Pelodiscus sinensis: one gene and its partners. The protein of the gene in region 3 interacts with the protein of the main gene of each other region in a pairwise test. Links are inferred from orthologs where the notes say so. Each region holds a gene or a part of one and is shown on either strand. Other genes may lie near its edges.

Region 1 (7,211 bases), on a different chromosome or scaffold from region 3:
GGCAGCGCCCCAGCTGCTCTGCCCCAGGGTCCACAACAAAAGCCTGGTCTGCTGGGGGAGGGGGGCACACTAGGACACAGGGAGCAAAGCGGCAGCGGGGGGGGGGTGCCTCGCCTCTGAGGCTTTGCTCTGGCGCGGGACCGCTTTGCTCCTGGTGCCCCTGGTTTGCTGGAGACGGTCCCCAGCAGACCAGGGGCACCGCGAGCAAACCCGCAGCCGCGGCTGGGTCCCCGCGCTTCTGAGGCTTTGCCAGAGCAAAGCCTCAGAAGTGCAGGACCCCGCCACGGTTGCGGGTTTGCTCGCGGTGTCCCTGGTCTGCTGGAGACGGTCCCCAGCAGACCAGGGGCACCGGGAGCAGCTTTTCTCGCCCCGGAGGTCGAGGTGGCTGACTGCTGCCTGTGCGCTCCGGGGCGAGAAAGCCCCGTTCGTAAGTGCGGATCCGACATAAGTCGGATCCGCGTAAGTCGGGGACTGCCTGTATATGTTTCAGTAGTTAAATTCCTGGACTGTCATTACTCATTAGAAGTGCTCTCCATGGGTAGAAATTGGGTAAATACTGCATTTTATTAATATCAGCAGAACTGACTTAAATGGGGCGTGTGTGTGGTGTATTCTTGCCTTAATCTTTGTATTCATGCCCATCAATGTGAAAGAAGCTATTTGCATATATATTTGCAAGTATATGCAACCACACTTAAGTTGCAGCTCTTGGCATATGCTGAGAGTATCATTGTGGCCCTCAGGCTTTCCAAGGTTGAGTAACCCTGCCTTGAACTGTCATTTCTGAATTTAAAGATCTACGAGTGAGAGGAGGGTAAATTCATTTTCCCCACAATTAATACTTCTGCTTTTTATTTGTGATTTGATATCTGGATCAATTAGTGTAGCTTAGAGCAGCAGTTCCCATCTGCTGGTCTGTAGACTGTTGCTGGTCTGCCTACTGCTGGCTGCTCGGCTGGTAACATTTTATTTACATATTTATTATTTACATAAAGAATACGCAAATAAAATGTGGCTGGTCTGCCAAAAGTTTGTGAAAGGGTTTGCCGGTCAGCAGTATGAAAAAGTGGTTCCCAACCTAACTTAGAGACCAGCTTTTTCCCGACATTCTTCCATTGAATACAGCCTCTGAGTTATGAACTTGGACCCCATTTAGTTACACGCGACCGCGCTGTTCGTAAGCGCAGGTCGCGTTCATACCTCGGGGACCGCCTTTATGACTGCTCCATGGGAGCTTTGGTCGTAAGTGCGAACAGTCGTAACTCAACCGTTCGCAACTCGGGGAGCAGCTGTATGTCTTTCCCAGGGTGGTGAGAGAACAATCAAATAAGTTCTGCTTTGTTTGAAATGGTAGTTTTAACTGAACTGTCTGTGGTAGTAGCAACAGAAAAAGAAAATAAAATACAGGCTCAGATAATAAACTTACTCCATTTACTTTAATACCAAGTCCAATCTTTACCCATTCTAGCTTGTCCTAAAATCTAGATAATAAATGGTTCTTATTATAAAATGTGTTGGTGTTTGCTCTTACGTTGATCTTGCAAGGCAAGACAGATTTTTATTGAATTCTGTGGGTTGGCCAGACAGTAAGGAGCCTTCCCTTCCCTTCTTGCATCCTGTTCAGAGGCTGGCCACAAACCTCCGTAAGAATAAAGGAAGTGCTTCCAGTGGAATTTTCAGTGACCTTAGTCTCCAAAACAGGAGGGGAAAACTTACCTTTTCCTTTTTATCCCCTGCAACACACAGTACTTAGGCCTGTTCAAAAAAAGTTTTGTTTTTTCAGAGTACAAAACTACAGTTCCAGTTTGCACTCTCTGAAGCTGTCCACTCTGCAAGTCCCAGGTTATAGTTAATATATTACAACCCACAATGTTGTGTACACTTTCTTCGAGAACAAGGAGAAAATACTGCCCTCATTTGCACCCATTGAAACCAGTAATATTAACTGGTTTAAAACTGAATTTGAGATGATATAAAGAAGTAGTGACAAAAACAGAAGTTTGAAGCTGAGCTACCTAAAAGAGGTAAGATGATGGTGGAAAAATTAGTTTTTTTTCTTTAAGTTATTTGCCTCATTGTCCAGCCTTCATAATTGGGATAAATATCTCAAGGTGAGAAAGTCAAGAAAAAAATAGGTGTGAGCTTTAAAAGTTTAGATTTAATTTCTTTACTACAGGCAAGATGTTTGGTTTCACGATTCCACATTTCTGATGTTTCAATTTGCAGTAGAAATGAAACAATACAGGGGTTGGGTGGGTTGAGTATAAATGTGTGTGTAAAATGAGGGACAACTGAGAAGTTTGGCTATAAATATATAGTGCCTTTGGGCATTGGTAATATGACTTGATAGATATTGATATTTATAAATTATGGCCACTGTATTTGATCATTATTGGCAAATCACGTATAAGCTAAACTGGAAAGTATACCCCAAGTCTATTATCAGGAACGTTAACAATAGGGATGTAAGTGACTAGTTGACTATGCAATAAGCAAACGCTTATTGTTGGGTAGTTGACTAGTGACTTGATGAGTTGTTCCACCCCCTTCTTCCCTCCCCCCCCCCCCCCCCGCCGCCTCTATTGGAAAGAGTGGAGAGAGGCAGCAAGGGGGGGCAGGGGAGAGCAGGACCCAGAGCTGGGGAGAAGCTGGCTTAAAAGCCAGTTCCCCCAGCACCGTCACTGTGTGGAGAAGGGACAGGGGTGCAGTGGGGAACTGGCAGTGCTTCTGCCCTTGAAATGAAGCAAGAGCAGGGTGATCTGCAGGGGCTCTTGCACATTTCAAAAGCAAAGTGCTGCCAGGAGCTTGGGGCCAGTAGGGGATCCTACTGCCTTTTTAAATTGCAAAGCTGTAGTGCAGTTTGGTCTCAGCACATGTCAGGACTGAGCTGGGCTGCCTGCCCAGCCAGTAGCAGCTCCTGTCCATGGAAGGTCCCAGTGGGAAGCTGGCACTCCCCACGGACTGGGGCTGCTATCCCTGAAGCAACCCCTGGCCATGACGCCTGGATGCAACCAGGGATTGCTTCGCAGCAGCAGCAGCCCATCTGTGGGGTGGGGGGCATCCCAACTTCTCATTAGGACCCCCCACAACCAGGGGCGCACCTCCCTGCCTCAGAGGAAGCAGGGACCTGTGGGGGAGACAGTGCTGGGGGGAAATGGGTTTTTAAGCTGGCTCCCCCCACACTAGCTCCTGCTCACCCCCCTTTGCTGCCTCTGATATAGAGGCTGCAAGGGGGGGAGGGGAATGCGAGTAGTCAACTCATTGACTAATCTCTTACATCGCCCTTATTCTTGTGTACCTCAAACCCTCTCACACTCACAATGCACTTGGACTGTGGTGTGCAGACAGCTCTTGTTTTTTCAACTATTTTGTTATTTAAATGGGGGAAAGGGGAACACTGCAGCGTCCTTAGTTGGACACAAACATTTAACATGAGGTCGCCTAGTATTTTATTTGTAATGATGATGCAAATCTTTAGACCCTTATAAAACCAGGCAAATTAAATTACTTCCCAGGCAACTAGCAAATCCATAAAAAAAGAAATGGCCTCAGGGAGGTGAACCCCAAGAAGCCCGCCCTGGGATCTGAAAGGCAACCTACGCTCTACCCCGCCCCTTAACCCGCGAGCCTGTCCCTCCTCCAAAGCCCTGCCCAGCCCCCCCCCTTGTACTGCGGCCAGCGGTTGGGATTCGGGAGGGGGCGCGAGACGTGGTGCTGGGCACGTGACAACCTCACAGAGCGATAGCGATGAGCCCGGCATGGCAACGGGGAGGGGAGGGGAGGGGAGGGGAGGGGGCTCTTTATCGGCGGCATCACGCGTCCGAGGTTCCCTGGCGGGGCAGAGCAGTAGCTAAGAGATGCGAATGCCAAACAGCCTCAAAGTTGCCGTGGCCGCGCCCCTTCCTGTCCCGAAGACACTCTCCCGCAAGATGGCTGCCGGGCGAGGCGGGAAGTGACGTAACCCCAGCGCGCCTCGCGGCAGGCTGAGCTTCCGCTCTGTTTGAAAGTGTTCGCCGCGGCGGCTGCTGCTTCCCGCGGTTGTGGGTCTCCGCGCGATGGCGGCCTTCGCCATGGAGCTGCCGCCGGCTGGTGAGCAGGGGCCGTTGTTGCCGCGGGGCAGGAGGGACAGACCCGGGGCCGCCGTGTCAGCGGCCTGGCTCCCCGTGTGTGTCGCTGCGGGCTCCCCGTGCCCCACGTGGTAGCGCTGCCGGGGCTGAGGGCGCTGCCAGCTGGGCAGCTGCCCACAGGCCTGGCAGCGCCTGCGGCTTCCCGGCGGGAGCTGCTGCCTGGCCGGCCTCGGGACCCGTCCCATCATGGCTGCGCGGTCCCGGGCCCGACGAGCTCTCCCTCCTGCCGGGGCGGGGGCGGGACCAGTAACCGCGCCCAGCGCTGCGCGTCATGACACTCGCGCGAGACGCTAGAGGCGCCTGGGCCGGCCGCTGACACTCCGCGGGAGTCAGGTGTTGACACCCGGGCCTGAGCCACTGTCACTGCTGCCGGGTGGCTCAGCCGGGTAATGGAGTCGGAGTTCCTGGCTCCGAGCTGCAGCAGGGCACGAGGAGCAGGGACAGTCGGATGTGAAGTTGATTTATTGTTTTGTTAAAGTATCAACTATTTGACTGTCCATAAGGTGTCTCTGCCTTTGAAGTGTAGAAACAGCCGTAGGGCCCTTGCTGCACTTTAAAGGCGAAAGCTCCACATGGAGCCCAGGGTCAGCTGGGGAGTACTGAGCTGAGCCCAGGCTCCAAGCAGCGCTGCCACTTTGAAACATTGTGGTGGGAGCCTGGAGTCAGGCTCCTCACAGCATTTCAAAGCTGGGAGAAGCCTGATGCTGGGATCCTGCAGTGGCATTTGAAAGCTGCTCCACAGGGTGCTGCTGCTTTGAAGTACCCCTCCCCCCTACCTCTTTCTGATAGAGGCAGCAAAGGGGGCAGGGAGCGACTAGTTGTCAAGCTTGTTGACTATCTGCTAACCATTTGCTTATCGTGTTTCCCAATTGGTGTTCAGCAAAGTGAAAGTAGGGGTTCTGCCAGGAGCCAGCACTCCCCCACCCCCTCTAACAGAGAGAGAGAGAGAGCTCCAGCTACCAGCTTTCTTAAAGAAGCAGCACACTTGTTTCCCCTTCCTCCCTGGTGATGCAGAGGCATAGCAAGGCATGGGAAGAATGGAACAGCTGCTCCCAGCTGGCACACTGGGGGGGTGCCAAAAAGGGGTGACCCCACATGACCCACAGCGGGGAGGGAAGCACTTCCCCTCCCCAAAGGAACCGGCACGCACTGCCTGAATGGCTGTGGCACCTGGTAACGTAATTCCGTGGCCTTTCTGTGCGGGTGCGGGAGGGGGATCAGGAGACCCAGGTCTGTGCAGTTCCAACTGTGCAGGCAGCGCTTTCTGCCCTGGGACTCCCCTCCTACCTACCTGCAGGATGGCATCATGGAAGTAAGTTGCTGGAGTGCAACAGCCCCTGCTGTTCAGGCAGTGTGCACACCAGCTGTTTGGGGAGGGGAAATGTAGTCACACACTTCCTGGAACCCAGAGGTGCTGCAGAATTGCCAGGTACTGGTTCCAGCTGCCCCTGTCCCCTGCCCAGACCCCCCCCCCCCCGATTACCCTGTCCCCTGCCCCCATCAACACTGTGCCTAGCACCTTGTCCCCAGCCCCAGCACTGCCACCCATCCCAGGACCCTGTCATCCACCCTAGCACTTGCATCTCCCTGTCCCTAGCCCCAGCACCTTGCCATCCACCGCAGTCCCCGGCCCCAGCACCCTGCCATCCACCCTAGCACCCAGCAGCACCCTGTCCCCAATCCCAGTATGCTGCCATCCACCCTAGCACCCAGCAGCACCCTGTCCCTGGCCCCAGCACTCTGCCACCCATCCTAGCACCCAGCAGCACCCTGTTCTTTGTCCAGCACCCTACCACCCACCCCAGTGCCCAGCAGGACCATGTCACTGACCCCAGCACCCTGTCACCTGTGCCAGCATCCTGCCACTCAGCAGCACACTCTCCCTGGCCGCAGCACCCACTAGCACTCTGCCTCCACCAGCACAGTTGGGACCATGTTAGTGAGGCTTGGGGGTTTTGTAGAGGGTTTTTTTTATCTCACTTGTGTGGCCCCAATTGACTTTTCTGTGGAACAGTGACCTTTGACTCAAAACAGGTTTCCCACCCCTCTCATTAAGGCAATGCTAAAACCTTTTGAGTTTGACATAATATTTTATTTGAAAATGGAGTCTGGCCAACATGCCCCCAGTTGGGGCCAAATCCCCATCTCACTGCAGCATCATAACACTCCTGCACCGCCTGACCCCAAATCTGAGCCTATCATACACTGGAACCCCCTGTCCTGAGCCTCTTACATCCCCACAATCCTGCATCCCCACATCCTCACTCTTCTGTCCCAACACTCCTGCACCATCCACACATCGCAGATCCGTGTCCTGAGCCCATCATACTCACAGCCTCCTTACTCTGAGCCCCTCACATATCCAACCCAAATTCCTGTACCCTCACATCCACAAGCCTGTGACTTGCTTGGCACCCCAACCCTTCACCTGAGTCCAACACTTCCCATCCTGGAGCCCCCTCCCCAAGCCAGCGTGCCCTTCTGCATCCAAATTCCCTCCCAGAGCTTGCAGTTCTCACCCCGCCCATACCCAAATCCCTCATTCCCACCCCTGAGCCCCAGGTCTCCTGTCTCAACTCAGTGAGAGTGTATAAGGGCTGGGGATAGCAAGTGATAGAGAGGAGGGGAACAGAGAGGATGGAGCCTCAAAGGGGTGGGGAAGGAATGTGGTTTTCATGCATTGGTGGGTTCCCATCTTTTTTTTTTTTTTTTTTTCCTTGACAAACCTAGGGGTTCCTTATCATAGAACCATAGAGCTGGAAGAGACCTTAGAAGGTCATCGAGTCCAGCCCCTTGCTCTAGGCAGGACCAATCCCAACTAAATCAACCTGGCCAGGGCTTTGTCAAGCTGAGACTTAAACACCTCTAGGGATGGAGACTCCACTACTTCCCTAGGTAACCCATTCCAGTGCTTCACTACCCTCCTAGGCTGTGTCTACACTGGGCCACTTATTCCGGAAAATCAGCCGCTTTTCCGGAATAAGCTGCGAGCTGTCTACACTGGCCCTTGAATTTCCAGAAAAGCAACGATGCTCTACTGTACAAAATCAGCCGCTATTCCGGAAAAACTATTCTGCTTTCGCT
Region 2 (7,758 bases), on a different chromosome or scaffold from region 3:
TCAGTTACTTCAGCCTGGGCTTTTCTTTTATCTATACACTTCTCACAAATGCAGTGGTTGCATGGCAGCATAAATGGGTAGAGATATAGTTGTTTACACAATGGACAAGTGAGCTGGTCACGAAAAGCATGTCCTGATGCATCTCTCTCCAGTGTAATGATTGATGTGTCACTTTTACTTCGAAACCTTGGTAAGGCAACTTTTGAACTGAAAAATAACCCCCCCCCCAAAATGGATTCTCGGTAAGAAACAGATTCTAATGCACATGGTCATGTTGTACAACCCCATCAATTTCTATTTTCCCCAAGATTTTTATTTAAAGAAACAGGTTACGACTGTGCTTTCTTCTGCCAGCAGTACATGCAATGAGCATTTCTGTTCACAGTAATAGTTGCATATTGGTTTGTACAGTGTATATGAAGCTGCCTGTTTTATTTTGCAAGATATTCCTTTTGCCATTACCAACCACAAGTGTTGCAGCTGTTACACAAACATCACTAGCAAACACCTGTATTTAATTTCATCTCTTTTTCTTGTTTATATGCTTTGCATGTTAAATTATAATGAGTTGTTATACATGTGAATAGTAAAATAAAAAGGTACCTCAACAACTGCATCTAACTGTAGTTTGACTTACAAGGAGAATCAAAGTCAGTGTTATAATGGCACCTTATTGCCAACTCAAGATTCTTTGTGGACAAAAGTTTAAAAAGTGAGTTGGGTGTTTTAAAGTTTTCAATGCCTGACTTGGGATGCCTTAAAAAAGCCTGATTTTCAGAAAGTGCTCTGTAAGTCAGGCTATGTCTAATGTGTATCCAGCAGGGCACTTGGAATCTTCCTGGTCACTTTTGAAAAACTTGGCCAACTGTCTCTCCACGATCATTCCAATGAAGATGACATAAGCTCAGTTGGTTAATATAGTCACTAGAACGATGAGATAAAATTGCTGCCTCATCATTCAGTCTTTGCTGTAGACTTGGCTGTGGCTTTGTACCCACTCCCTGCTTCTCTAATGCTGCCTTCACTCCTACTTTTCTTTCCTCTCCATGCTTGTTGCTGCTGTTTAATCCCATATTCCAAAGCTCCTCACACACTCCCACATTGCTGCTTCTCCCCCTCGGCTGTTGCCTGTCCCCTCCTGCATGTATCAATTATTGTGTGTAATATCATAAATAAACAGATTCTTCCTAGTGCTGCCCTTTCAGAGCCAGAGTTACATATTTTAAAGGCAAGAATCACTTACGTGTCATGTAGCTCAGCAGATCAATCAGTTTTTTTCTCTACTCGCAGTCTAACTTTTTATTGTTACTAGCACTACTTTGGTCTGGCTACAATTTCTCAGAGCCATATCTCCCCCTCCCCCCATTGTGGTTCCTTAATGTAATCTATGCTTGGTGCTGTACGTATTTCAATTCCCTCCCCTCAAAACTAGCATCATCCCATCTTTTTACTCTTTTGAGAAGATTTTTTATGCAATTGACTCTTCATTTTCCTCTACTCCCATACCTTGCCCACCATTTTCTATTAGAGTACATTTAGACTATGGGATAAAGTAAAATTAATATACACAACTTCAGGTACATTAATTGCGTAGCTGAGGTTGAAGTACCTTAACTCGACTTTTGGCGCTGTCTACACAGCAGGAAGTTGAAGCGAGAATGTTCTCCCTTCGACTTCTCTTACTTCTTGTGAAAGCAGGGCTACCGGCATTGACTGGACCATCCCTCACAGTCCAAATTGGCTGTCTTAACGTGACATGCTAATTCGAACCCTGGAAGACTGACAGCGGCAGCTTCGATCTTCCTCTAGAGTACACATACCCTCAGTCAGCATTTTTCTCTTACATCAGACTTCATATGCCTCTTTCGAAAGCATGTGTCCCATCTCACTGCACACTCCTCTCTTTCATTTTCTCGGGCTTTCACTCACTTAGGCTACGTCTAGACTGCCTAAAAAGCTACTTCTTTTGAAAAAGCCTCTTTCAAAAAAGAGCGTGTAGATTACAACCATTTCTTTTTCAAAAAAGCAAGCCGCCTTTTTGAAAGAGAGCATCCAGACTACCTGGATGCTCTCTTTCGAAAAAGCACAGTTTGTATTACATAGAGCCTTTTTTTGAAAGAGCACTTTCAAAAAAAGGCGTTATTCCTTATGAAACGAGGTTTACCATGGTTGAAAAAAAAAACTGCGTTCTTTCAATTTATTGTTGAAATAATGAGGCAGTAATCTAGATGCAGATAAAGATTTTTTGAAAAAAGGCCACTTTTTTCGAAAAATCCCTGCAGTCTAGACACACCTTAGAGCTGGGGGGAATTTGTTAAAATCCAAACAGTTCACAAAACAGAGTCCTTTTCATAGAATTTTCAGCCTTGAATAAATTTCAGGAAAAAAGTTTTGAAAAATTGTCAAACCATTTTGATATTTTCTAAATGAAAAATTCTAATTGCCCACTTCAAAATATCTTTTTTTTTTAAATCTATAGCTTAAAGAGCAACAGCAAAATGGAGCATTTTGAAATGATGGAAATAAAACATTTCATTTGATCCAAATTGAAATAAAAGTTCAGGGTGTGAGTTTGGTTTTGGGGTACACAGATGATTTTTTAAATTTTCCTCCTGATTCAGAATCATTCTTCCAATGCACTTACTGGTGTCGTCTTCTGGCTCTGGGAAGGTATGATGCATAGAGGGTATTCCTGCAGCATCTGCTTTCATAATATTGGCAGGTGGTGTTCTCTGAAGTACAGCAACAGCATTTGCAGTCTGGGTCATTTGAACAGGAGCAGCAGCACCAACGACAATTTGGATTCTCTGAACACGAGCAGTGACAACACTGGCAAGCTCTGCCTTCTGCATATGGGCAGGGGCAACAGCTACAATTCCGCTCATCAGTGAAGAAAAAACGCCAGCATGAACAGCATTCTTGATCAGTCCTTTGCAGTGGGGGGCAGCAACGGCAGCCTGGGCAACATGGCCAGCTGAGGCATAACATACTGACCATTGTTCCACAAAACACTGATCACTTTACACAGTAGCACTTTTTAAATAGCTTTGAGCTGGGGTAAATGGTTCTCATTCCAGTTAGGAATAATGATGTCACAAGGAGCTATTTAACAAAGGACAATGTAAGTGATGTGCTGATTACATCACGTTTATGTCACAATTACTAAGATCGACCTGTGCTGTTTCTTGTATTGGTACTAGCAGAATTGCATGTGAGCTAGCAGCAGCCACATCTCCCCACATCCAGTGGTGCTTATGAATTTCCAGCAGAAAAGTCTGAACTGTGCTGAAACTTTGGGAGCACCATAATATAAATGGAACGCAATATAAAATAAACACAAGTAACACTACACTGCTTGTATTATTCGTGACTTTATTGAAAGAAATCATTTGCCTCAGAATGTCTAAAGTACAGGCAGTCCCCGACTTACGCGGATCCGACTTATGTCGGATCCGCAGTTATGAACAGGGCTTTTCTCGCCCCGGAGGACACGGACTGCGGGACCTTGCGGTCCCACCGCCCGTGTACTCCGGGGCGAGAAAAGCTGCTCCGCGTCTCCCTGGTCTGCAGACCAGGAAGACGCGGAGCAAAGCTGCGGAGGGGCTCAGGCAGCGGGGCAGCCCAGGTGCGCCTGGGCTGTCTCGCTGCCGGCTTCCCCCGAGGCTTTGCAAAGCCTCGGGGGAAGCTGGCAGCGGGACAGCCCAGGCGCACCTGGGCTGCCCCGCAGCCCCAGCCCCTCGGAACTGTCTTCCAGATTCAGCCGCTGCTGAAACTGACCAGCGGCTGACTACAGGAAGCCTGAGGCAGAGTTGCTCTGCCCCGGGCTTCTTGGAATCAGCCGCTGATCAGTTTCAGCAGCGGCTGACTTGGGGACACCTGGGGCAGAGCAGCTGGGGTGCTGCCCAGTTGGCCCCCGCAGCGCTGCCCCTGCGGGGACCTACCCGGCACGCCCCAGCTGCTCTGTCCTAGGCATCCAGATTCAGCTGTTGTTGAAACTGATCAGCGGCTGATTCCAGGCAGCCCAGGGCAGAGCAACTCTGCCTCGGGCTTCCTGTAGTCAGCCGCTGGTCAGTTTCAGCAGCGGCTGAATCTGGAAGCCAGTTCCGACTTACATACAAATTCAACTTAAGAACAAACCTATAGTCCCTATCTTGTACGTAACCGGGGACTGCCTGTACTGCAGATACATAGGGAGCCTTTCAGCACAATGTAGATGCAGCTTGCCACAGAGAACATGAGGATTTTTCTCCTACCATTATATGGGCGTATCTTTTTCAGGGAAGATGACCACTCACCCCACTCCTGTATCATCCTTCAAAATTCCTCCTCTTCCAGTTTCTTCCCATCACTTTGGATTGGTGATGTAAAGACTTCATTCCTAGAGGCACAATTTCAGCATCTACCCTTTATATCTGCATGATATCCATTTACAGATGAGAAACAGCAGGATTTTCAGAGGGATTAAGTGTATTATCCCAGTTCATGGAGAAAGTCTGCGGCAAAGCCAGCAAGGGTATGTCTACACTAGCTCAGTAGTTCGAGCTAGATAGGCAAATGAGGGTAGGATCTCTAATTCGAAGTAGCGGTACACCTCTTTCTGTGTAGCCACGGGCACGGAGTTCGGACTAAGGGGGATTTAAAAATGATGGCACCCAGGAAGATGCAAATGAAGCCCGGGATATTTAAATCCCGGGCTTTATTTGCAACTCCGGTTGCCCTCATTTGCCTACCTAGCTCGAACTACCGAGCTAGGGTAGACATACCCTAAGTGAATCAAGGATGCCTAAGAGCTGGCCCTGTGTCCTCAGTACAAGACCTTCCCGTTGAAGATAGTTTTTCCTTCCAAACATTACAAAGTTGACAATTTTTATCATGGATCCAATCTTGATTCTTTTGATAGTCTGCTCCAGGCTCCTGAAAGGCCTCTGCTGCTACAGACAGATCCCAAGGAAAGGGGTTCAGTCCTGTTCTACATGAAAGCTGGTGTAACTCATAGCCATTGAGGATGCATCTATGCTAAACTGTTATTTCAGAATAACAGTCATTATTCTGAAATAACAATGTGAGCGTCTATACAGCAATTCCATTATTTCACCTTCCCCAACCACCTGATGTAAATTTCTGTAAACTGCCTGCCATGGTCTAACAAGGCCTGGAGGACCATAGAAAAGTATTTCTTGTGATTAATGTAGAGAGATTCCCGGTGGTCGAGGGCCTGGATGGAGACGTGGGTGCCATCAATAGCCCCCCCCTGCAGTTGGGGAAGCCCATGGTGGCAAAGCCAGTGACGGTGAGGTCCATGTTGTTGAGCTGGATGACCCTGCACAGCAGGATGGTGTTGATGGCTGTCCCCACCTACAGAAGGAGACAAAGAATCACTGGGGTGACAGAGTCCTTGAGAGGCCACCAAGCCCCCCCCTTTCATGCCCACCCACACCAGGTGCCACCCTCTAATGTAGCCATCCCCCCTTTCCCTAGACTTTCCCTTTCCAGCACTTTACCTACCCCCCTCCTGGTATTGCAGCCTGAGAGTGCCATACCTGCACAATGAGGACCTGAATGGTCAACTTCCCCATGCCAAACTGATTGCCAATGGATCTCTAACTTTCCAGCATGGCGAGCTTCCAGATAGCGATGGCGACCCACTTCTCCATGGAGATGGGGGGTTTTATCTGAGTGTCCCATCATGTGAGGGCAGGGGCAAGTCAGGCACACAGCTCCAGAAAGTTCTTCTTCCTCATTCGGATATTCTGGAGCCACTGCTGGTTGCCCCACTGCTCCATCACAAGCCGGTCCCACCAGTTGGAACTGGTGTCCAGCTGCTAGAAGTGGTGGTGCACAATGGGGTGCAGGTGGAAGAATTGTACTCCCAGACAGAGGTTGAGGCTTCCCTCGAACAGCTGGGGGTCCATTTTTCTGGTGTACCTATACATAGTGGCTTGGTAGAATCTTCTGACAACTATTACTGTACTTCGCTTAACAATAAACCTGACTGGGCACCTTTGATCCTTATCTGATTTGTGTCTTTGCGGGCTTTCTTGAAGTCTGCTGTGTTAACTAACTCTACAAGTCAACACAGCACACATCACTGAGCACATGCAAGCAGCCTTCTAGTTATCATCATTGACAGAGCAGAAGACCTATCAGGACACCACAACAGTAAATCCTGACCTGACAATAATGGTGGCTCCTGAAGACTCTGTTCCCTACCCAAATTTGTCTAAATGGATGAAGACCTGACAGTAGATGGTATGTCTGATGCCGATGTCATTCACTGGCATGGGAAGGGAATGGTTGACTTAGCACTGACGGCATTTCTCAGGAAATACAAGAAAATGTTAATCCCTCACAAACCCATGCAAGGGACCTTCTATGCTTCCCGAGATACAAACAAAGGAACCATGGCCAAGGCACTATTATGGAAGGAATTTTCAAACTATTTGACACATAAAGGGCCACAACTGACATTCTGAAGAAAACCTATAACATTAACAACCTCCCTCAGAGCACCATCCTTTGCCGCCTACCAACACTTCCTTCCTATACAAAAACATCCCTCCCAATGATAGAATTGCTGCCTATCTCAAATGTTTACAAGAAAATGGGCAACACTCAGATGTCTACCCCAAACACATCACCAAACTTATCCATTTCATCCTCACCCATAACAATTTTACATTCAATGACAAACAGTTCATCCAAACGACTGAAACAACCATGGAGAGTAGGGTGTCTTTACAATATATCAATCTCTTTATGGGTTGTATTCAGGAAGAATTTCTGGATAAGTACATCAGAAAAGCAATTCTTCAGCTGCTCCCCGTAGGTCATGGGCTTTAGCCCCCTAATCATTTTGATTGCCTTCCACTGGACCCACATCCTTTCTGTAGTGGGGGGGCCCAGAACTGGATACAATACTGTAGATGTGGCCTCACCAGTGCTGAATAAAGGGGAATAACCACGTCTCTAGATCTGCTGGAAATGCTCCTCCTAATGCACCCTAATATTCCTTTAGCCTTCTTGTCTACATGGATACACTGTTGACTCATATTCAGCTTCACATCCATTGTAATCCCCAGGTCCTTTTCTGCCAAACTGCTGCTTATCCAGTTGGTTTCCAGCCTGTAACAGTGATTGGGATTCTTCCAGCCCAAGTGTAAGACTCTGCACATGTTCTTATTAAACCTCATCAGATTTCTTTTGGCCCAATCCTCCAATTTGCCTAGGTCACTCTGACCCCTATCCCTGCCCTCCTTCATATCTACCTTTCCCCCAACTTAATTTCATCTGAATACTTGCTGAGGGTGCAATCCATCCCCTCATCCAGGTCATTAATAAAGATGTTGAATAAAACCAGCCAGAGAACTGATACTCGAGGCACCCCGCTTGAAACCAACCGCCAACCAGACATTGAGCTGTTGATCATTACCCATTGGGCCCAACAATCTAGCCAGCTTTCTATGCACTTTACAGTCCATTTATCCAATCCATACTTCCTTAACTTGCTGTCAAGAACTATTTGGGAGATAGTGGAATGAGGTGTAACAATTAATCTGAACTAAGACTTAGTTCGGATTAACTTTAAACTGTCGCGTGTAGCCGCAGGCAGTTCGTTCGAACTAAGGGGGATTTAAAAATGGCGACCGGATGGGAACATGCAAATAAAGTCCGGGATATTTAAATCCCGGGCTTCATTTGCAACTTCAGTTGCCTGATTTGCCTACTTTGCTTGAATTAACAAGCTAGTGTAGACATACC
Region 3 (8,122 bases):
TAGGTGGGCTCCAGCAGGGAGCTGTGGAAAGTTGAGAGCTCTGGCTCTCAGCCCTCCCTCCCCACAGTTCCTCTTCAATCTGTGGAAGCACTCATTGAGAGGACACACATGACTGATAGGTGGGTAGTATGGAGATCAGCCACCACAGTAATTATTTTAGTGACTAAGTCGCCCTAAACATAGGTTAACTAAGATGGTAGAATAAACATGCTCTAAGTGTAATTTTCTTAACATTCAAAATCTCAACTAAAAAAAGCTTGGCTACAAAAGTAAAATAGAGAACACTGTTCCATTCATTCCAGATACCACAAATACATGAAGCTAATTTTCTCCGCTAGCCATGCTGCGCAACTCTGAAAAAATTCCCACCGTTTTGAATGGGTCTTCAGTTCTCCTCATCTTTTGCTTGGCAAGATATTGAATAAGGCTATTATTTTCAGGGGAACCCCGTACTCCAATTGTAGATCTGCGCTTAAGTTTTAAAGCCATGGATTTCTCTGAAACAAGAACAATGCAAGAAAAAGCACAATGAAACTTCAGGAGAACACTTACAAGTATTTAAAAATACCAGGGAAATTGCTTCTATTTAAAAAAATGTAGGCATTATATAAAGTCTTGTATTTGGTCAGTTGTCTTCATTAGAAGAAAAAATAAAAACTGCAAGCATTTGAAATCTTGATAGTGTATTACATAACTCACAGGAACAATCAAAAGACTGTTAGAGAAGGAAAACTCCACAACAATTTTGTGGAAGAGGTGAAAGAAGGTCGTGTGTGCGCACGTGCGTCCACCCACCCTCTCTCTCTCACGGAAAGCATAGAACAGTTTCTTTGCTTTGTGTGTATCCAGAAATCAGGCACAGTACTGGTATACAGAAAGGGAAAACAAGAAAAGGTCTTTACAGAAAGTAAAAACAAAAAAGCTCAAAAGGAAAAACTCTTTCATATCAACTCTTGGGTATCCCCTTCCTTGACAGCATGAATGTTCCTTCACTCAACACTTCTCCACAGTACAAGAACCAGAAGATAGAAAGTTAATGCTGTATGACCAACATAAACTTTCATGAGAAGTTCTGCTAGAATTCCCAGGTTTGGGGCTGTGAGTGGGCGAGAATAGTGCCATGCAAAACTACCCTCCCTCAGCTTCCTTGCATCAGAAAAGCCAAAACAAAATAAAAACCCACATTCCTAATTTGAAGTCTAACACTGTTTCCATGGGAGAACTATATTGACAGTTCCTAGATCGGTTTGAAAACATGTTTAGCAACCTATTTAACATCCTCCTTTGCTCTCTTTTGTGCCCTTAAACAGGAACAGTAGAAAATGATGATGTAAACATCACTACAATATACATAAAAAGTATTGCTGTGAAACAATCATGGTGTAATTATCAAGGTGTAAATTTACTGTCATTTGGACATCAGGAAGAAACCCTGTCTACCTACTGATCGTGAAATCTCACACTTAGTTTTACTTATGAAGAGCCTATGCCACTGACAGAAATAGCCAAATTTGGCTATAAAAGAATGTAGGAGGAAGAAAGCTCTGTTACCTTTTCAAAATTCCTTCCATCTGATCCTATTCCCATGAATAGGCTTAACAGAGCTCTAGGAAGTCATAGTATTTCCCCTCTCCCCAAGAAAACACATGTTTAATAGCAAATTACTCTATACACCAGCTATAATGAATGTTGGACAATTCTTCACAATTTCCATCTCCTGTACTATTTCCAAATCACTACTTATAAAACCTATATCTGTGTTATCAGAAATTGTCCCAAATGCCCTGAAATCTTCTGGACCACCATTCACAACCACCATTAAATATTTAAGAGAATGTTCTCATTCACAAATGAACCACAGTATTTTGAAACATTCATTCCAAGAGTCACTTTGCTAACCCCTTACCTATAGATGGCTTAGCAGTAAAAGACTCTGGAGTAATCCCAAATTCAGCTATAGTTACACTTGCAAAATCAACAGGTGTCTTCATTACATTCTCTGATGTTTCACAATCTGGTTTTACATCTGCTTCACCTTTATCAGGTGTCACATAGCTTGCATCATCCAAGAATGTAGGGCTGCCTTTTGAAAAAGGACTTTGAGGTTTGTGTGCTGTCAAAAAGGACAAGGAAGGTTGAAGTAAGTTTCCCTTTAGTTTAAAAGAAAGGCTTTTGTTTACTGCCAGTTTACTATCATCCTTGCTGTTCTGATATGATTTTCTCCTTATGTATTCGTTGCATTTTACTCCAGGTTTAAATACATGTGTAGATCTCAGGTCATTTAAATTTTCAATTTCTGAAAGGTATGAGCTTTTTGATTCATCCATTTTGACAAACTTGTCTTTTGGAATGGGCAGAGAATAAACCTTCTCTTCTTCAATAAGTCCTTTCAAATTTTCTTTGACATCAGCAACAGTATTTATAATTTGTCTAGATTTTCTGCGCATTGTCAGTGCTGTTTTCTGAGCTTAAAAAAATATGACCAGTCTTGTTGCTCTCTTGTAATCATGCGTCTGTCATTAAGACGTCGTCATTATGTTTTTTTGTAAAAGCAATCACCATAACATGCAGACATCAAGCCATTAGAAGATACTGCTGCCATTCTATGGAGAGAAGCATGAAATGTTAGCTATGAAGTTTACTGTAAATATCAGATCTTATATGCATAACATTCTGACGTATGTTGATGTCTATATTAAACACAAAAACCATCTAAGCTAATTCAACATTACGGTGGAGATTTCCAAATCACCACCTCACGAAATCTAATACCACCATCTACATGTTTTGCTAGTCTATAAAGTGCTACCATATCATTTGTTGTTTTTTTAAAAATGCACAAGCCAGTACTCACTTTCATTAAAGAAATATCCAGCTTCTGAGATAATGATCATCTAGAGCACAACAGGATAAATCAGTTTGTTCATTTAAATAAAAAGATGTTATCTAAGTATGGCAAATAGGATAGTGAAAAGTTAAACAGAAATTCATGCCCAAAATTCAAAGCAGTATAAGCACAAGTCTTGCACCTGAGCATCACAATGCTTAACTAAGTGTGTCAGGCTGTGACAAAATGTTATTAAAAGAACATTGTAACAACATGATGCTGCAGGTTTATTCAATATCAAAGTGGGCCTTCCTGCTTTGAAAAGCTCAACACCAGTTGGCAGATGGAACAGAGTATTAAGAGTAAGTTGATCCTTTAAAATAACAGGTGTTTTAAGAAGGGGGAAAAGCCTGTTATACCATGCTGTGCATGTGGCATTGTTTGACATATATGAATGGGAGGCCCAGGTTATCTACTTTTAGTTGTTTCATTGTTCCCTTTATCATACTAAAATGTGACCATAGATTGGGAGCACTTGGTGGTACAGAAAGCCTGTCATTCAACTGGGCAACAAGGTGAAATGGAGAGTGAGGGCAATGGGTAGAAAAGAAGACGGGAAATTTTGTTGGGCAAGCATGCCGAGTCACAGCTGCTGCTCACTGCTGCACATTCTTGACCCCCATCCAAGGGGATGCAGCTTGAAGGGAGGGGGGGGGCGCGCACAAAGAGAAAAGGGAGCATATTCCACATATTCTCAAGGGGATCACAGGGGCATGTAGCACATGACAAAAAGAAACCCGGTAACAGGGGCCAACACAGCTCCAGGAGGGGCAGCAGAGAAGAGCCCCTGTGCCCAAGGGTCTATCAAGCAATATCCACCCAGCCAGCAACTTCCTCCCTCCCCAGCCCATTCTCCAACCAGTTGTTTCCATGGGCATTTCCTCAACTCCTATCATACCTGCCCCCCTCATTAGCCTCCCCCACCCCCGCTCCCCCTCATTAGCCTCCCCCACCCCCGCTCCCCCTCATTAGCCTCCCCCACCCCCGCCCCCCCTCATTAGCCTCCCTCACCCCCGTTATCTGCTCCCCCTCATTAGCCTCCCCCACCCCCGCCCCCCCTCATTAGCCTCCCCCACCCCATTATCTGCTCCCCTCATTAGCCTCCCCCACCCCCGCTCCCCCTCATTAGCCTCCCCCGCCCCCTGCCCCCCTCATTAGCCTCCCTCACCCCCGTTATCTGCTCCCCCTCATTAGCCTCCCCCACCCCCGCCCCCCCTCATTAGCCTCCCCCACCCCATTATCTGCTCCCCTCATTAGCCTCCCCCACCCCACCCCCGCCCCCCCTCAGCCTCCCCCGCCCCCGCCCCCTGCCCCCCTCATTAGCCTCCCCCGCCCCCCACCCCCCTCATTAGCCTCCCCCGCCCCCTGCCCCCCTCATTAGCCTCCCCCGCCCCTCCCCCTGCTTCCGCTCCCCCCTCACCCCCAGCGGCTCCTGGATCCCGAACGATCCGACTGAGGAAACTCCACTAGGCTAGACGCGCCTCTAACATTCAAACTCACTGCCTCCTCCATGCACGTGCGTATCCCTCCGCAGGCTGGGCCAGCGCTGAGGCGCCTCCCCTGCTAGCCCCACCAATCTGCGCATGTGCCATCCGCCTCATGGAAGGGGCAAAGAAGAAGGCTGTCGCTGGCAGACTTAGGTGCTCAGTCTCTGCCGGCGGCTCAGCGACACGGGACTCTTTTCCCTGCAGCGAGTCCCGGCAGCGCGCAGGGAACAGAGCTTCGTCGCGATTGGAGAGTTCTTAGTTTTGAAATAGAGCCCATCAAACGGCCGGTCCTTCCCTCACGTGACATACACGAGCCAATCAGAAGGCGGGGAGTGAGTCGACCCCCCTTTTATGCAAATACGCCTCATGCCATTTGGCCGTGAAGGGTGACGCCCTACTCTTTTCAAGCTGCCTGACTGTAAGAGTTCTGATTGGCTACAACCGAGACCCCGCCCCCCCCCGAGGCAGACCGCCCCCTGTCAATTCTCCCTGCCTAACCTCCACACACCTGCACCAATGAACGTCCCTCCCACCTCTGCATTCTATTGGGCAAGAGGAGGGGGAAGTGCGGCTCTGGTTGGGTCCCGGCCTTGTCAGTCACCGCTGCTGGTTTCCGGGTTTAGAAGCATCGTAGGAGCATGAGGCGGGTCACCCTGTTCGTCAATGGCACCCCCAAGAATGGGAAGGTGAGGGGGCAAGGGGCTCTGAGGAGAAGAGGGCGGGGGGACTCCGGAGCTTGCATGGTGGGGGAGGACGTTTTGGGGGGGGCATGGGGACCCTGAGAAGAGGTGGGGGAGGGGAACTAATAGGGGGGGTGCGCGAGGGAGAGGAGACGTTGGAAGCGGGAGGGAATGCGAGGGGGGGTTAAGGTGGGGGAGGAGCCTAGTTAGGGGCGGGGTTTGAGGGGTAGGTGTTGAGGGGGAGGAGCCTAGTTAGGGGCGGGGTTTGAGGGGGAGGTGTTGAGGGGGAGGAGCCTAGTTAGGGGCGGGGTTTGAGGGGGAGGTGTTGAGGGGGAGGAGCCTAGTTAGGGGCGGGGTTTGAGGGGGAGGTGTTGAGGGGGAGGAGCCTAGTTAGGGGCGGGGTTTGAGGGGGAGGAGCCTAGTTAGGGGCGGGGTTTGAGGGGTAGGTGTTGAGGGGGAGTTAAGGCGGGGGAGGGGCTTAGTTAGGGGCGGGGTTTGAGGGGGAGGAGTTGAGGGGGAGGAGCCTAGTTAGGGGCGGGGTTTGAGTGGTAGGTGTTGAGGGGGAGTTAAGGTGGGGGAGGGGCTTAGTTGGGGCGGAGTTTGAGGGGTAGGTTTTGAGGGGGAGTTCAGATGGGGGAGGGGCTTAGGTAGGGAATGGGGTTTGAAGGGTACTTTGGGTGAGGACATGGAGGGAAGGCAGTGTAGCTCTCAGGAGGAGCAGGACTTGGGGGGCACGGGGAAAGAATGCCCCTGGTGCCCTGTTGGTAGGTGAATGCTAAGGTCTCGGTCTGTGTATCTTTGTGGGTGTCGCAGGTTTGTGGATGGGAATTATTGCCTGTGAATCACAGTGTAAATCCTTGGGGGGAGAGGAGGTTGTGGTTGTTCTTGCAGGTTGTGTTAATTTGGCTGGGGTAGTGGGTAGATATTGTAAATCTTGCTGCTGCAACTCACACCGTTCTCTGGTGTAATGTAAGTACGGGCTGTAGAAAAATACAGGATTTTTTTTTAAACATTACAAAACGTGGGTTTTTAAAAAATATGTAACTTTTTTTTTTAATGCGTAGCAGCCTCTGTCTGCTGGGAGCTTGGACTCCCCACAAACAGGGGCCATTGCCAACACATGCTACTGCCTTTCTATCAGAAGCTCCTCTCGTGGACTGGCTCCCGCATGCCACCCCGCTCTGCTGCCCCTGGTAGCTGAGAGTGTTGGTGGCATAGGGTTTGAGGAGTCAGTATAATCTGATAGTCCTGCTGTAAGTGTGCCAACTTGAGAGAATTCTGTAGTCAGCATGCACAGAACAGATTATGAACAGGAGGCTACCAGACAACTCACCAGCACCAGCTTCTACAGGCTTCTCTCCTATGATTCCACTAAACACCAAAAAGAACTAAACCACCTGCTCATTAAACTTCCTGATACAACTCAGGACCAGATTTACACAAACACACTCACAAACACCAACCAGAAGCTTTATATCTGCTACCCAAGATCCACAGACCTGGGAAACGCATCATTACAGGACAGTCACATTTTCATCACCTTATAGCGGAAACCTACCGACTGTTATAATTACCTGCATGCCTCTAGCTTCCATTCAACACACATTTCTCAGTCAGTTGTGTGACGGGGTGCGGTCACAGATGACCCCTTGGGGTTGCCTCCCAGGGTGCTGACACCGCCACTGCCACTGTCCTTCCTTCTCTCTGGGGCTCCTCACTGTCTGGTCTGGCTGGGCCAGTTCCGTTGGTCTCCCCCAGCCAAGGCCCTGAGCTGAGATCCCTGCCCCCACGAAGAAGCAGTACAGACACTGAACCACTCCAGGTCCTAGGAGAGTGCAGTTTAGAACCCAGCCTCCTGAGAGAGCACTCCCCAGATGGGATCAAACCCCAAAGAATTAGGTAAGCCCCCTTTAGCAATGAAAGGGGGAATGTGCACACTGGTTGCCTCCCCAGGTAACAATCGCTTACACTGGGTTTGATAGAAGATAAACATGGTTTTATTAAGTTGAAGCAGTAGGATTTAAGTAGTAATAAGAGAAAGTAGGTAGAGCAAAGTAGGTTACAAATAATCAAAAGAAACAAAACCGCTTGGCTAATTCTCCACTGAAACCTCAGTGCAAACTTAAACTCACCCTAAAATCTCTTTTCCAGCTGCCACTCTAAACCAGGGTTCTCTTCCCCAGCCTGGGGTCTCAGGCTCCTTCCTTCAGGTGCAGCTCAGCCAAAAGATCCAGGCCTCTGCTTTCCTATTCCTTTTGTTAAGGAGTTGAGGCCACTCCCTACCAGCCACTGCTCAGACTTAAGGATAAAAGATTGTTTAACAGTGGCTCATCTAGAATTTGCAGGTAACGCCCTCCATGTCTCCCATTCACACATTTGAAACTCACCAAGTATTCCCCACTCCTTGTGTCGAATTTTGTACACACAAATGACACATACAACAGAGTAAGATAAACAGAACCAGCAGATCATGACATGAAGATCAATAGGTTACATGAAATAATTCGCTCAAACCACCTTTGAGTTATGTATATGCATGTCCAAGAGTCCACTTTGTAAAGCATGGGGGAAGGGTCTGTCACTTAAAACTTAAATACTAACCTGGAGAAGTGGAAAAAACGGATTGACCGAGCCAGACGAGTACCCAGGCATCAGCTTCTGCAAGATAGGCCCAACAAAAAAAGCAATAGAACACAACTGGTCATTACCTAAAGCCTCCAACTTAAACTCCTACAGTGCATTATTATCAATCTGCAACCTATCCTGAAAAATGACCCCTCACTCTCACAGGCCTTGGGGGCATGCCAATCCTCACCTACAGACAATTCTTTCCCGTAACCACATAGTTCACCATCATATTCACCCAGGAACCCACCTCTGTGATCAACTCTGGTGCCAACTCTGTCCACACATCTATACAAGCGGCATCATCACAGGACGTAACCACATCAGCCACCACTTCAGAGGCTCATACAACTGTACATCCATCAATGGGATCTATGCCATCAAGTGCCAGCATTGTCTCTCTGCCATGTATATTGGCCATACTAGACAGTGTCTATAACAAA
Region 4 (7,733 bases), on a different chromosome or scaffold from region 3:
ATCAGGTATCCCAGAGTAGAGAATTAAGGGGACACAGCTGTTCAATACTCCTCATTGTACCCCGGGGAAAGTCACAGCCATGTTTTTAAAAGGGAATTTTCACAGACTAAATTTGTATAACACCTTACCTAGAATCAACTACCATGGCTAACAGCCATATTGGAATCCAAGACAATTATTAGATCATTCACTGTTTCAGAAATAGTGAATGAACAGTGAATTTGTTGCTCAAATTTTAGAGCTCCAATCTTCAGACCCAATTTTCCCGGGTACATTTGGCTCAGTCAATCTCCACTTAAGACTAATTAGACATTTCAGTTTGGGATTGTCTATTCTATAGCCCTTTTAGCATGTCTGATCTAATAACTTATATACTGTATTTAAGATTGTGTCAGCTATCCTTATATACATCATATATCCTATTATATAATCTATAGCCAAACTCCAATTACTGTTATTTAACTTCCCAGTTCTAAACTTAGCATCTGATCCTTGTATCTCCACAACCTTTGCCCCATCAGTGTGGTGATCCCCATTTTCCTATATTGTGGCAGAAACTTTTGCTAGATACCTTCAACTGTCTTTGTCTGCCTTAAATGTATAACAATCTGTTTTTGTGGCTGCTCTTACCATAGTACCAATAATGCAAAACCACCAATTGCTCTTTTTTTTACAAACCAAATGTATGTGTTTGAATTGTTCAGTGAGATCATGAACTAGATCAGAATCCACTCTATCATACATATTAGACACAGAACTGTACTTTCAGATATAATGCTGATCAGATTACATCTTCCACAGTACTGGTTGCTCCCTCTTTTGGTGAACTTCTGCAAAGTTCTATGGAAAATTCCAGTCTCTGGTCTCCTTTTGCTGATCTTGATCTGCAAGTCCAACTCCCAGCATGTATTAGGATGTAAACAAGTCAACTATACAATTAACCGATAAACCTAAGCTTATCAGTTAATCTAGTTGACTACTTACATTTCTCCCCTTGTGGCCTCTATTTGAGAGGCCACAAAGGGCGGGGGGAAGGGAGCTGGGGGGAGCTGGTGCTAGGGGGAGCCAGCTTAAAAGCAGTTTCTCTCCACCTGGCTGCAGGGGAGGCTTCCGCAACGCAATCTGTGCCCACAGGGGCCCCCAGTTCCCTCCACTGGGACCCCCAGCAGAGGGAGGCAGCAGTGAGAGGTAGCCCTGCCCCCAGGGACTATAGATACAAAACTGGTCAAGATAGTTATGTCCACAGCAGACTGCAAAGAACTTAAAAATGACCTCACAAAACTGGGTGACGGGGAAACAAAATGGCAGATGAAATTCAATGTTAATAAATGCAGAGTAATGCACATTGGAAAAAATAATCCCAACTACACACATTGTGGCAGAGCTCCAGTCATACCACTGAGTCCCACACTTCCTTGTGGATTTTTATTATGCCTCAGAGGCTCACAGTGACACCCCCCCCCCACTACTTCGTCTATTCCAGAGGCAAAGGTCCCCACTTAACAAGCCATCTTCATCACAGGCAAGTCACTAGCTTGGGAGTAAACCCTTCCATGATCCTAGAGTCTCCTTCCCCCCCGTGGCAGCCTACCAGGCATGGGAAGGATTGGGGGCACCCAGTCCAGCCGTTACTCCAGGTTCCAGCCCAGGGTCCTCAGTGGCAGCCACTACTGTGGCTTTTGCATTTATTCTACAAAATAGTAGCCTCCCCCTGGGCCATTTCCCTCGCCACTCCCACAAAACCTTCTCCTTGGCACTTTGGTAAAAACCTCTCTCAGTGCTTCTTCATGCTGCACTTCCTCCCCTCTGGTCTATTACTCTTCTCCTCCCTCCCCACCCCCCCATACCTGAGGGGCAAACCTTTTATAGTCGACCAGCAGGCCTTAACTGGCTGCAAGTCTCCGATTGGCCTGCTTCTGCAGGACAACTCTGAAGGATTCTCAGGTGCCTGACTGTCTTGGTTACTGAGCAAAAGTCTTTGGCAGCCTATCCAGGAAACAGGAACCCACTCATCCAACTCCTGGGCTGTTGGAATAAGGAATAAGGGACCTTTCGGAAAAGGCTTTATTTTCCGAAAGATCCCCGTCTAGACTGGCACTTTTTTCCGGCAAAGCCCCGCGCCGGAAAAAAGTGGCAGCCATGTTTATACAAATGAAGCGGGGATATTTAAATCCCCCGCTTCATTTGCAATTCCGACTTGTCTCATCTGCATCCCTTTTCCAGAAAAGGGGTGCAGTGGTAGACACAGCCCTGGTGTACCTACTGTCCACCAAACTCCTGCAGCCCACTGCCTTTGATCTGCCACGATATAAAATGATAGGGTCTAAATTATGTTACTACTGAAATGAAAGATTCTGGAGTCATCATGGATAGTTCTCTGAAAACATCCACTCAATGTGCAGTTGCAGTCAAAAAACATATAGACTGTTGGGAATCATTAAGAAAGGGACAGAAAATATCTTATTGCCTCTTTATAAATCCACAGTGCACACACATTTTGATTAGTGTGTGCAGATGTGGTCACCTTATCTCAAAAAAGGTATATTGGATTTGGAAAATATTCAGAAATGGTAACAAAAATGTTTAGGGGTATGGAATGATTTCTGATAAGAGAATAATTAGACTGGGACTTTCCAGTTTGAAAAAGAGACAACTAAGGGGGATATGGTAGAGGTCTATAAAAGCATGACTGATGTGGAGAAAACAAATAAGAAACAGTTATTCGTTCCCTCCTATAACAAGAATTAGGGGGTCACCCAATGAAATAAGTAGCAGGTTTAAAACAAACAAAAGGAAGTATTTCTTCACAGGGTGCACAGTCAGCAAGAGGATGTTATGAAGGCGAAGACGATAAAAGAATTTAAAAAAGAACTAGATACATTCATGAAGGATAGGTCCATCAATGGCTATCAGCCAGGATAAGCAGGGATGGTGGCCCTAGCCTCTGTTTGTCAGGGATTCAGAGATAGGGCATGGATTACTTAGTGACTACCTGGTCTGTTCTTTCCTTGTGGGGCACCTGATATTGGCCACTGGCAAAAGACAAGATACAGGGGTTTGTTCTGATCCAGTATCGTCTTTCTTATGCTGTCATAGGCTTCTGATTGGGTTTCTTGTTTTTCTCTGGGTTCTTCTCTGTCCTCCCTTCCCCACTGTTCTCCCCACCATCTACGTAAACACTGCTCCAAATCTCCTGGACACACCTTTCATCTGAGATGGGGCTGATGCTTACAGGTATGTTCACTTTAATGTGTGACCCTTTAATATTATTGGCTATGACTAGACTGCCCCCTCTTGTGCAAGAGAATATGCAAATGAGGCAAAGTGGTGAAAATTGCCATGCCTCATTTGCATACTTAAGCTGCCATTTTTGCGTAAGGGACGTTTGCGTAAAAAGGAGCCATCTACACAGCTCGTTTTTGCGCAAAATCTCCCTCTTGCGCAAGAGCAGTTCTTTCTGAAAAAAAGCAGCAGAACAGCTCTTGCGCAAAAGCCCCTAGTGCAAAAAATGGTGGCTCATTAAGTAAGCAAATGAGGCATGGCAATGCTCAACTCTTTGCCTCATTTGAATATTCTCTTGTGTAAGAGGGGGGTAGTCTAGACATAGCCATTAGGGTTTTAACTCACCCCTTTAAATTCCACCCAACTCCTAATAGGTCAGGGCCTAGTGTACAATCCTGGTTCAAGAGGGATGCTCTTTGGCTTTACAACATCATAAGCAGTCTCTACCTCTAAGAACAGGCACTGAGTTATATGGGCCTGTGATGCACCAGGTCCAGAAATACTCTTTGCTCAGTCCAGGCTTCACCAAAGTTCACTACCTGCTGTTTCCTGCCACCCCATGTGTGTGCCCTGGCCCAGACTGCCGTTCCCAGCTGACTTAAAAATCCTTGGAGGGCCCCACCATCCCTACAGCCGAGCTTGAGCCCCACAGCTGCCGGCATATGGCTTCCCGTGCGCGCTGCAGCACAGGGAGAGGGTGTCTGCAGGGCGGGTGCTTCTCCAAGGCATTCTTGACGCCACCAAAATTTCTGCCCCGCTGTCCCCACCATGCTGTAAGTTGCAATGCCCCCTGCACCACCCAGGGGCAGTCCGGCACTTCCAAACACCTGCGCAGGCTCAAAGAAGCATCTGGAGCCAGAGGCCCGCCGGCGTGGGCACCGCTGTGAAAAAAGAAGTGCACGTGTTTGGCGGCGGGGGTGTGAGCGAAGGGGGAAGGTACTGTCCTATAGGTCCCCCTATAGGGGACGCTGTAGCGCAGAGGATCAGGCATTCGCAGCACAACAGGGCCGAGTCTTCGCTGCCTGTGACAGCCTCTTGTACACGGGGTCCCGCCCAGCCCCGCAGAGAGGCTGCCTCGCAGCTCCCACTACAGCGGGGCTCTAACCTCCCCAGGGCGGGAGCTTCACATGCGCAGTCTCCTCCTACTGCCTCAGGCCCCGCCCACTTCCCGGGCGGGCTCCGCCCTGGGCGCCTGCACGCCTCCAGGCCCCGCCCTCTCCTCGCGGAGCTCTGGCACGCGGGGAGCGTCGAACTGTGTTTTGTAATCTCCTCCGCCCCTTCCCCCACGCCGTGCCTCTCAGCCAATGGAGAGTGCCCGTTGTGGTCAGCTGACGCAGCTTTTTATGTAAGCCAGCGGCGGGGATTCACCCGCCGGTCTGCGCCGAGGTTTGAAAGGGGGTAACGGTCTAACGACCCCTCCGTCAGGCTGTCGCGCTAGGGCGCGCTCGTTCCCCGGTCCCGTGCCCCTCCCCCTGCCGCCAGTGCCAGCACAGGGCCGTGCGCAGAGCCGAGCCCAGCCTGGCGAGGAGCCGGAGCGGCGCGGCGAGCGCCACACCCCCTTGTGGGATCCGGGCGGCTCGCGGGGCAGGGTGGGGGCTCGCAGCAGGATGGCGTCGTCGGTGGCTGTGAGCTCGGAGGGGTCCCCGGAGTCGGGGGGCAGCGGGCGGCCCCGCGGGGAGCCCGAAGGGGAGCAGGAGCGGCTGCTGCGGCGCGGGGAGCTGCTGGCCCTGGGCAATCATCTGAAGGAAGCGCTGGAGACTTATTCGGCGGCGCTGCGGCTCGGGCCGCCTGCGGGACCCCACCGCCTCGAGACCCTCGTGGACTGCCTGGTGCTGAACTACCGCTTCCGACAGGGGCTGGGCGGGAGCCGCGGTCAGGGGACTCCGGGGGAGGGCGGCGGCGGCTCGGCCGCGGGGCCGCTGACTTGCTGCGGCTGCCGGGGCTTCCTGGGCGAGCCGGTGACCGCCCGGTGTGGGCACAGCTACTGCCGCCTCTGCCTCCGGAGGGAGCTACGCTCCCGCTGCCGCCTGTGCCGGGACCTGTTGCTGCCCGCCGGGCCGCCCCAGCTCCGGACCAGCGTCGTGCTCAGTCAGTTGGCGGAGAAGTGGTTCCCGGCCGAGTGTGAGAGGGCAAGGACCGGCAGCCGGCTGGGGGAGCTGTTGAGCCAGGGGCGCTTTCGAGAGAGCCTAAGCGCCGTCAGCCAGGCCCTGCAAGCAGGTAACGGACTGGGGTTAGGGGAGCTCAGCTCTGTAGCCCAGGGGGCGCTTCGGTTGGGTGACACGACAGGCAGAGTCTTGGCTCCTCGGCTGTGTCGCAAGGAGCTGGCTTTTCTTGTCAGTCCTCTGACGCTTCGTCTTCTCCCTGCCCCCCTTCTCCCAGTCCCCTGTCTAGCCCGCCAGGAATCAGTCGGGTACGAGTCGAAGCTGGGAATGAAGTAAGCTGCTGAAATCACGAGGGGAAACTGGCGCAGGGTTCGGCCCTTTGAAACAAGCCTGACGCATGCTAGAGCTCCAGAGATGACTTTTGCTAATGTTGCTAACTCCCCAGAGGAATGAGTAGGGAGAGAACCAGAAACGTGGGGCTTTCTGAGGAGTGGGTGGTGAACATGTGAGGGTTATGTGTGGAGTGGGGCACACTTGCTACAGCTCTACTCCACACTATTTTCCCAGCATAGCTGTGCCCTCCCTCTAACATAGACGTTGTTGGAAGGAGATGGTCTCTCAGAACCATGCCAGCTGTATTTGCTTTCGTTACAAAGAAAGGCCTTTTTTCTTAGCCTCTCAAGTGTGTCACTAAGACAGTTCCCAGCAGGCAAGGCCTAGTTGCATAAGCAGATGGGATATGGAGGGGGACAGGTTGTGTAATGCTAGTGACATCACAGATGGGTGTGGTAGAAGTTTTATAATACTGTACACTGTTGGGAGAGAAGGCAGGGGGAAATGAATGGGTGTGCTTGGATTATTATTGATCATTGACAACATGCTTGGGATTGCACAGATTCCTGTCTAATCAGTGAGGTTGGTGTAGGTCATCTAGGTATTTAGACGTTATAAAGGTGGGCAAGATAAAACATTTATTCAGAATAATGCTACATTTCCTCTAATGGTGCCTTAACCAAATTCATTCTTCCATTCTGAAATTAAGTGCTGGTCTCTTTATTTTCGCTATGGTTGATCAGAAATTTAGTCTTGTGTGTTTAGCAATGATACCTTTATTAACACTAAATTTTTAATATTTTGGCAGTGTATATGTGGAATTGCCAGCTGCAGGAGGGTGGGAGTTTAGATATCAAGCTAAACAGATTCATTTGATATCGTTGTCTCTCTGCATCTAACATTTCTCCCCAGTATAGATCAGAAATTTTAGAATAAGCTGTTGTCAGAATCAGATCTTAAACGGGAGTGTTGCAGACTATTTCAAACATCTTTTGGAAGCATAATATATGTGGTTGTAAACTGTTTCACTTATAACAGTGTCCTAAATTAGTTTTTAGTACTGTTGTAGCATCCTGTGTAAGTGGAGCCAAAGAAGCATGGAGTGTCCAGAGGGATTTATTTTCTAAATAGAGACTTCTTAAGAATTAAAATAGTTCATTTTAATGATCTAGTAATGACCTAGAATTTAGCATTGCTAGGGAATCCAACAAATAAAGCATAATCTAAATGGGTTTCGGATTATAAATGGGTCACTATACTTATAAATGTTTTATATGGAAGACTGCACCACTGTGGTTTAGGGTTTTTGAAATAGAAGAAAGAAATTTATTTTTCTGGTTAAACATTAAGAACATAAGGGTACCCCCCCCCCCCCCCCCGTCCTTCATGGCTCTGCTTATGGCTTTGATTGTCATAGTACAAGTTGAACCTTTCTAGTTTGGCACCCTTGGGAATTTGCTGGTCAGTAGTTACTAGCGGGATTACCAACACTTCCACTGCTTACTGGACTCTTCGAAGAAATTTGGGGTAAATTAGAGCTAAATAACAGCACAGAACAGTGAGAACCCGGACTGGTGACAAAGAAATTTTATGGGATTATGGGAAACTTGGCCACACCCATAAGTGGACATTGAGACAATGGATTTTGATAGACCAGAGAGTGCTGGACTAGTGAACTTCAACCTGTACTTAGTTTACATTTAGGTTGGGGTCTAACCAATGGCTGATAAAATCTGAAAATACAGCTTTCAATCTTAAACTTTCTTTTTTTTTAACACAGATTATTCAAGCAACTATTACACTGTACACTTGCATACTCAGACTGAGTCTTCATACATTGTCTGCAGGGCCGGCCTTAAGCCGATTTGGCCGAATCAGGCCCCACGCCTAAGGAGGCCCCGCACCTGGAAGTCTGCTCATCTCCCCCTTGCCTGCGCATGCTGCCGGCGTTTGCAGGTGGGCGGGGAGATGCCTGGGTGTGACATGACGTCACGGCCTGGGATTTTAAAACTGTTA

The links.
Region 1: the proteins of KCTD9 (region 3) and NUP35 interact in binary tests that used the Homo sapiens proteins (3 or more experiments, as listed by UniProt). The two-hybrid records come from large-scale screens. The link is inferred for Pelodiscus sinensis from reciprocal best matches to the Homo sapiens genes KCTD9 and NUP35.
Region 2: the proteins of KCTD9 (region 3) and TRIM42 interact in binary tests that used the Homo sapiens proteins (3 or more experiments, as listed by UniProt). The two-hybrid records come from large-scale screens. The link is inferred for Pelodiscus sinensis from reciprocal best matches to the Homo sapiens genes KCTD9 and TRIM42.
Region 4: the proteins of KCTD9 (region 3) and LONRF1 interact in binary tests that used the Homo sapiens proteins (3 or more experiments, as listed by UniProt). The two-hybrid records come from large-scale screens. The link is inferred for Pelodiscus sinensis from reciprocal best matches to the Homo sapiens genes KCTD9 and LONRF1.

The regions. Positions count from the first base shown.
Region 1 is NC_134717.1:49,734,249-49,741,459, forward strand, and holds the start of NUP35 (nucleoporin NUP35), read left to right. Parts: upstream 1-3,805; 5' UTR 3,806-4,055; coding exon 4,056-4,089; intron 4,090-7,211. UniProt on the Homo sapiens protein: Functions as a component of the nuclear pore complex (NPC).
Region 2 is NC_134720.1:12,774,770-12,782,527, reverse strand, and holds the start of TRIM42 (tripartite motif-containing protein 42), read right to left. Parts: upstream 3,069-7,758; 5' UTR 2,998-3,068; coding exon 2,645-2,997; intron 1,042-2,644; exon of another isoform or gene 618-1,041; coding exon of another isoform or gene 604-617; intron 208-603; coding exon 1-207.
Region 3 is NC_134738.1:9,382,747-9,390,868, forward strand, and holds the start of KCTD9 (BTB/POZ domain-containing protein KCTD9), read left to right. Parts: upstream 1-4,818; 5' UTR 4,819-5,012; coding exon 5,013-5,060; intron 5,061-8,122. Other genes in the region: CDCA2 (cell division cycle-associated protein 2), read right to left, coding at 370-497, 1,907-2,447. UniProt on the Homo sapiens protein: Substrate-specific adapter of a BCR (BTB-CUL3-RBX1) E3 ubiquitin-protein ligase complex, which mediates the ubiquitination of target proteins, leading to their degradation by the proteasome.
Region 4 is NC_134715.1:84,012,447-84,020,179, forward strand, and holds the start of LONRF1 (LON peptidase N-terminal domain and RING finger protein 1), read left to right. Parts: upstream 1-4,518; 5' UTR 4,519-4,889; coding exon 4,890-5,499; intron 5,500-7,733.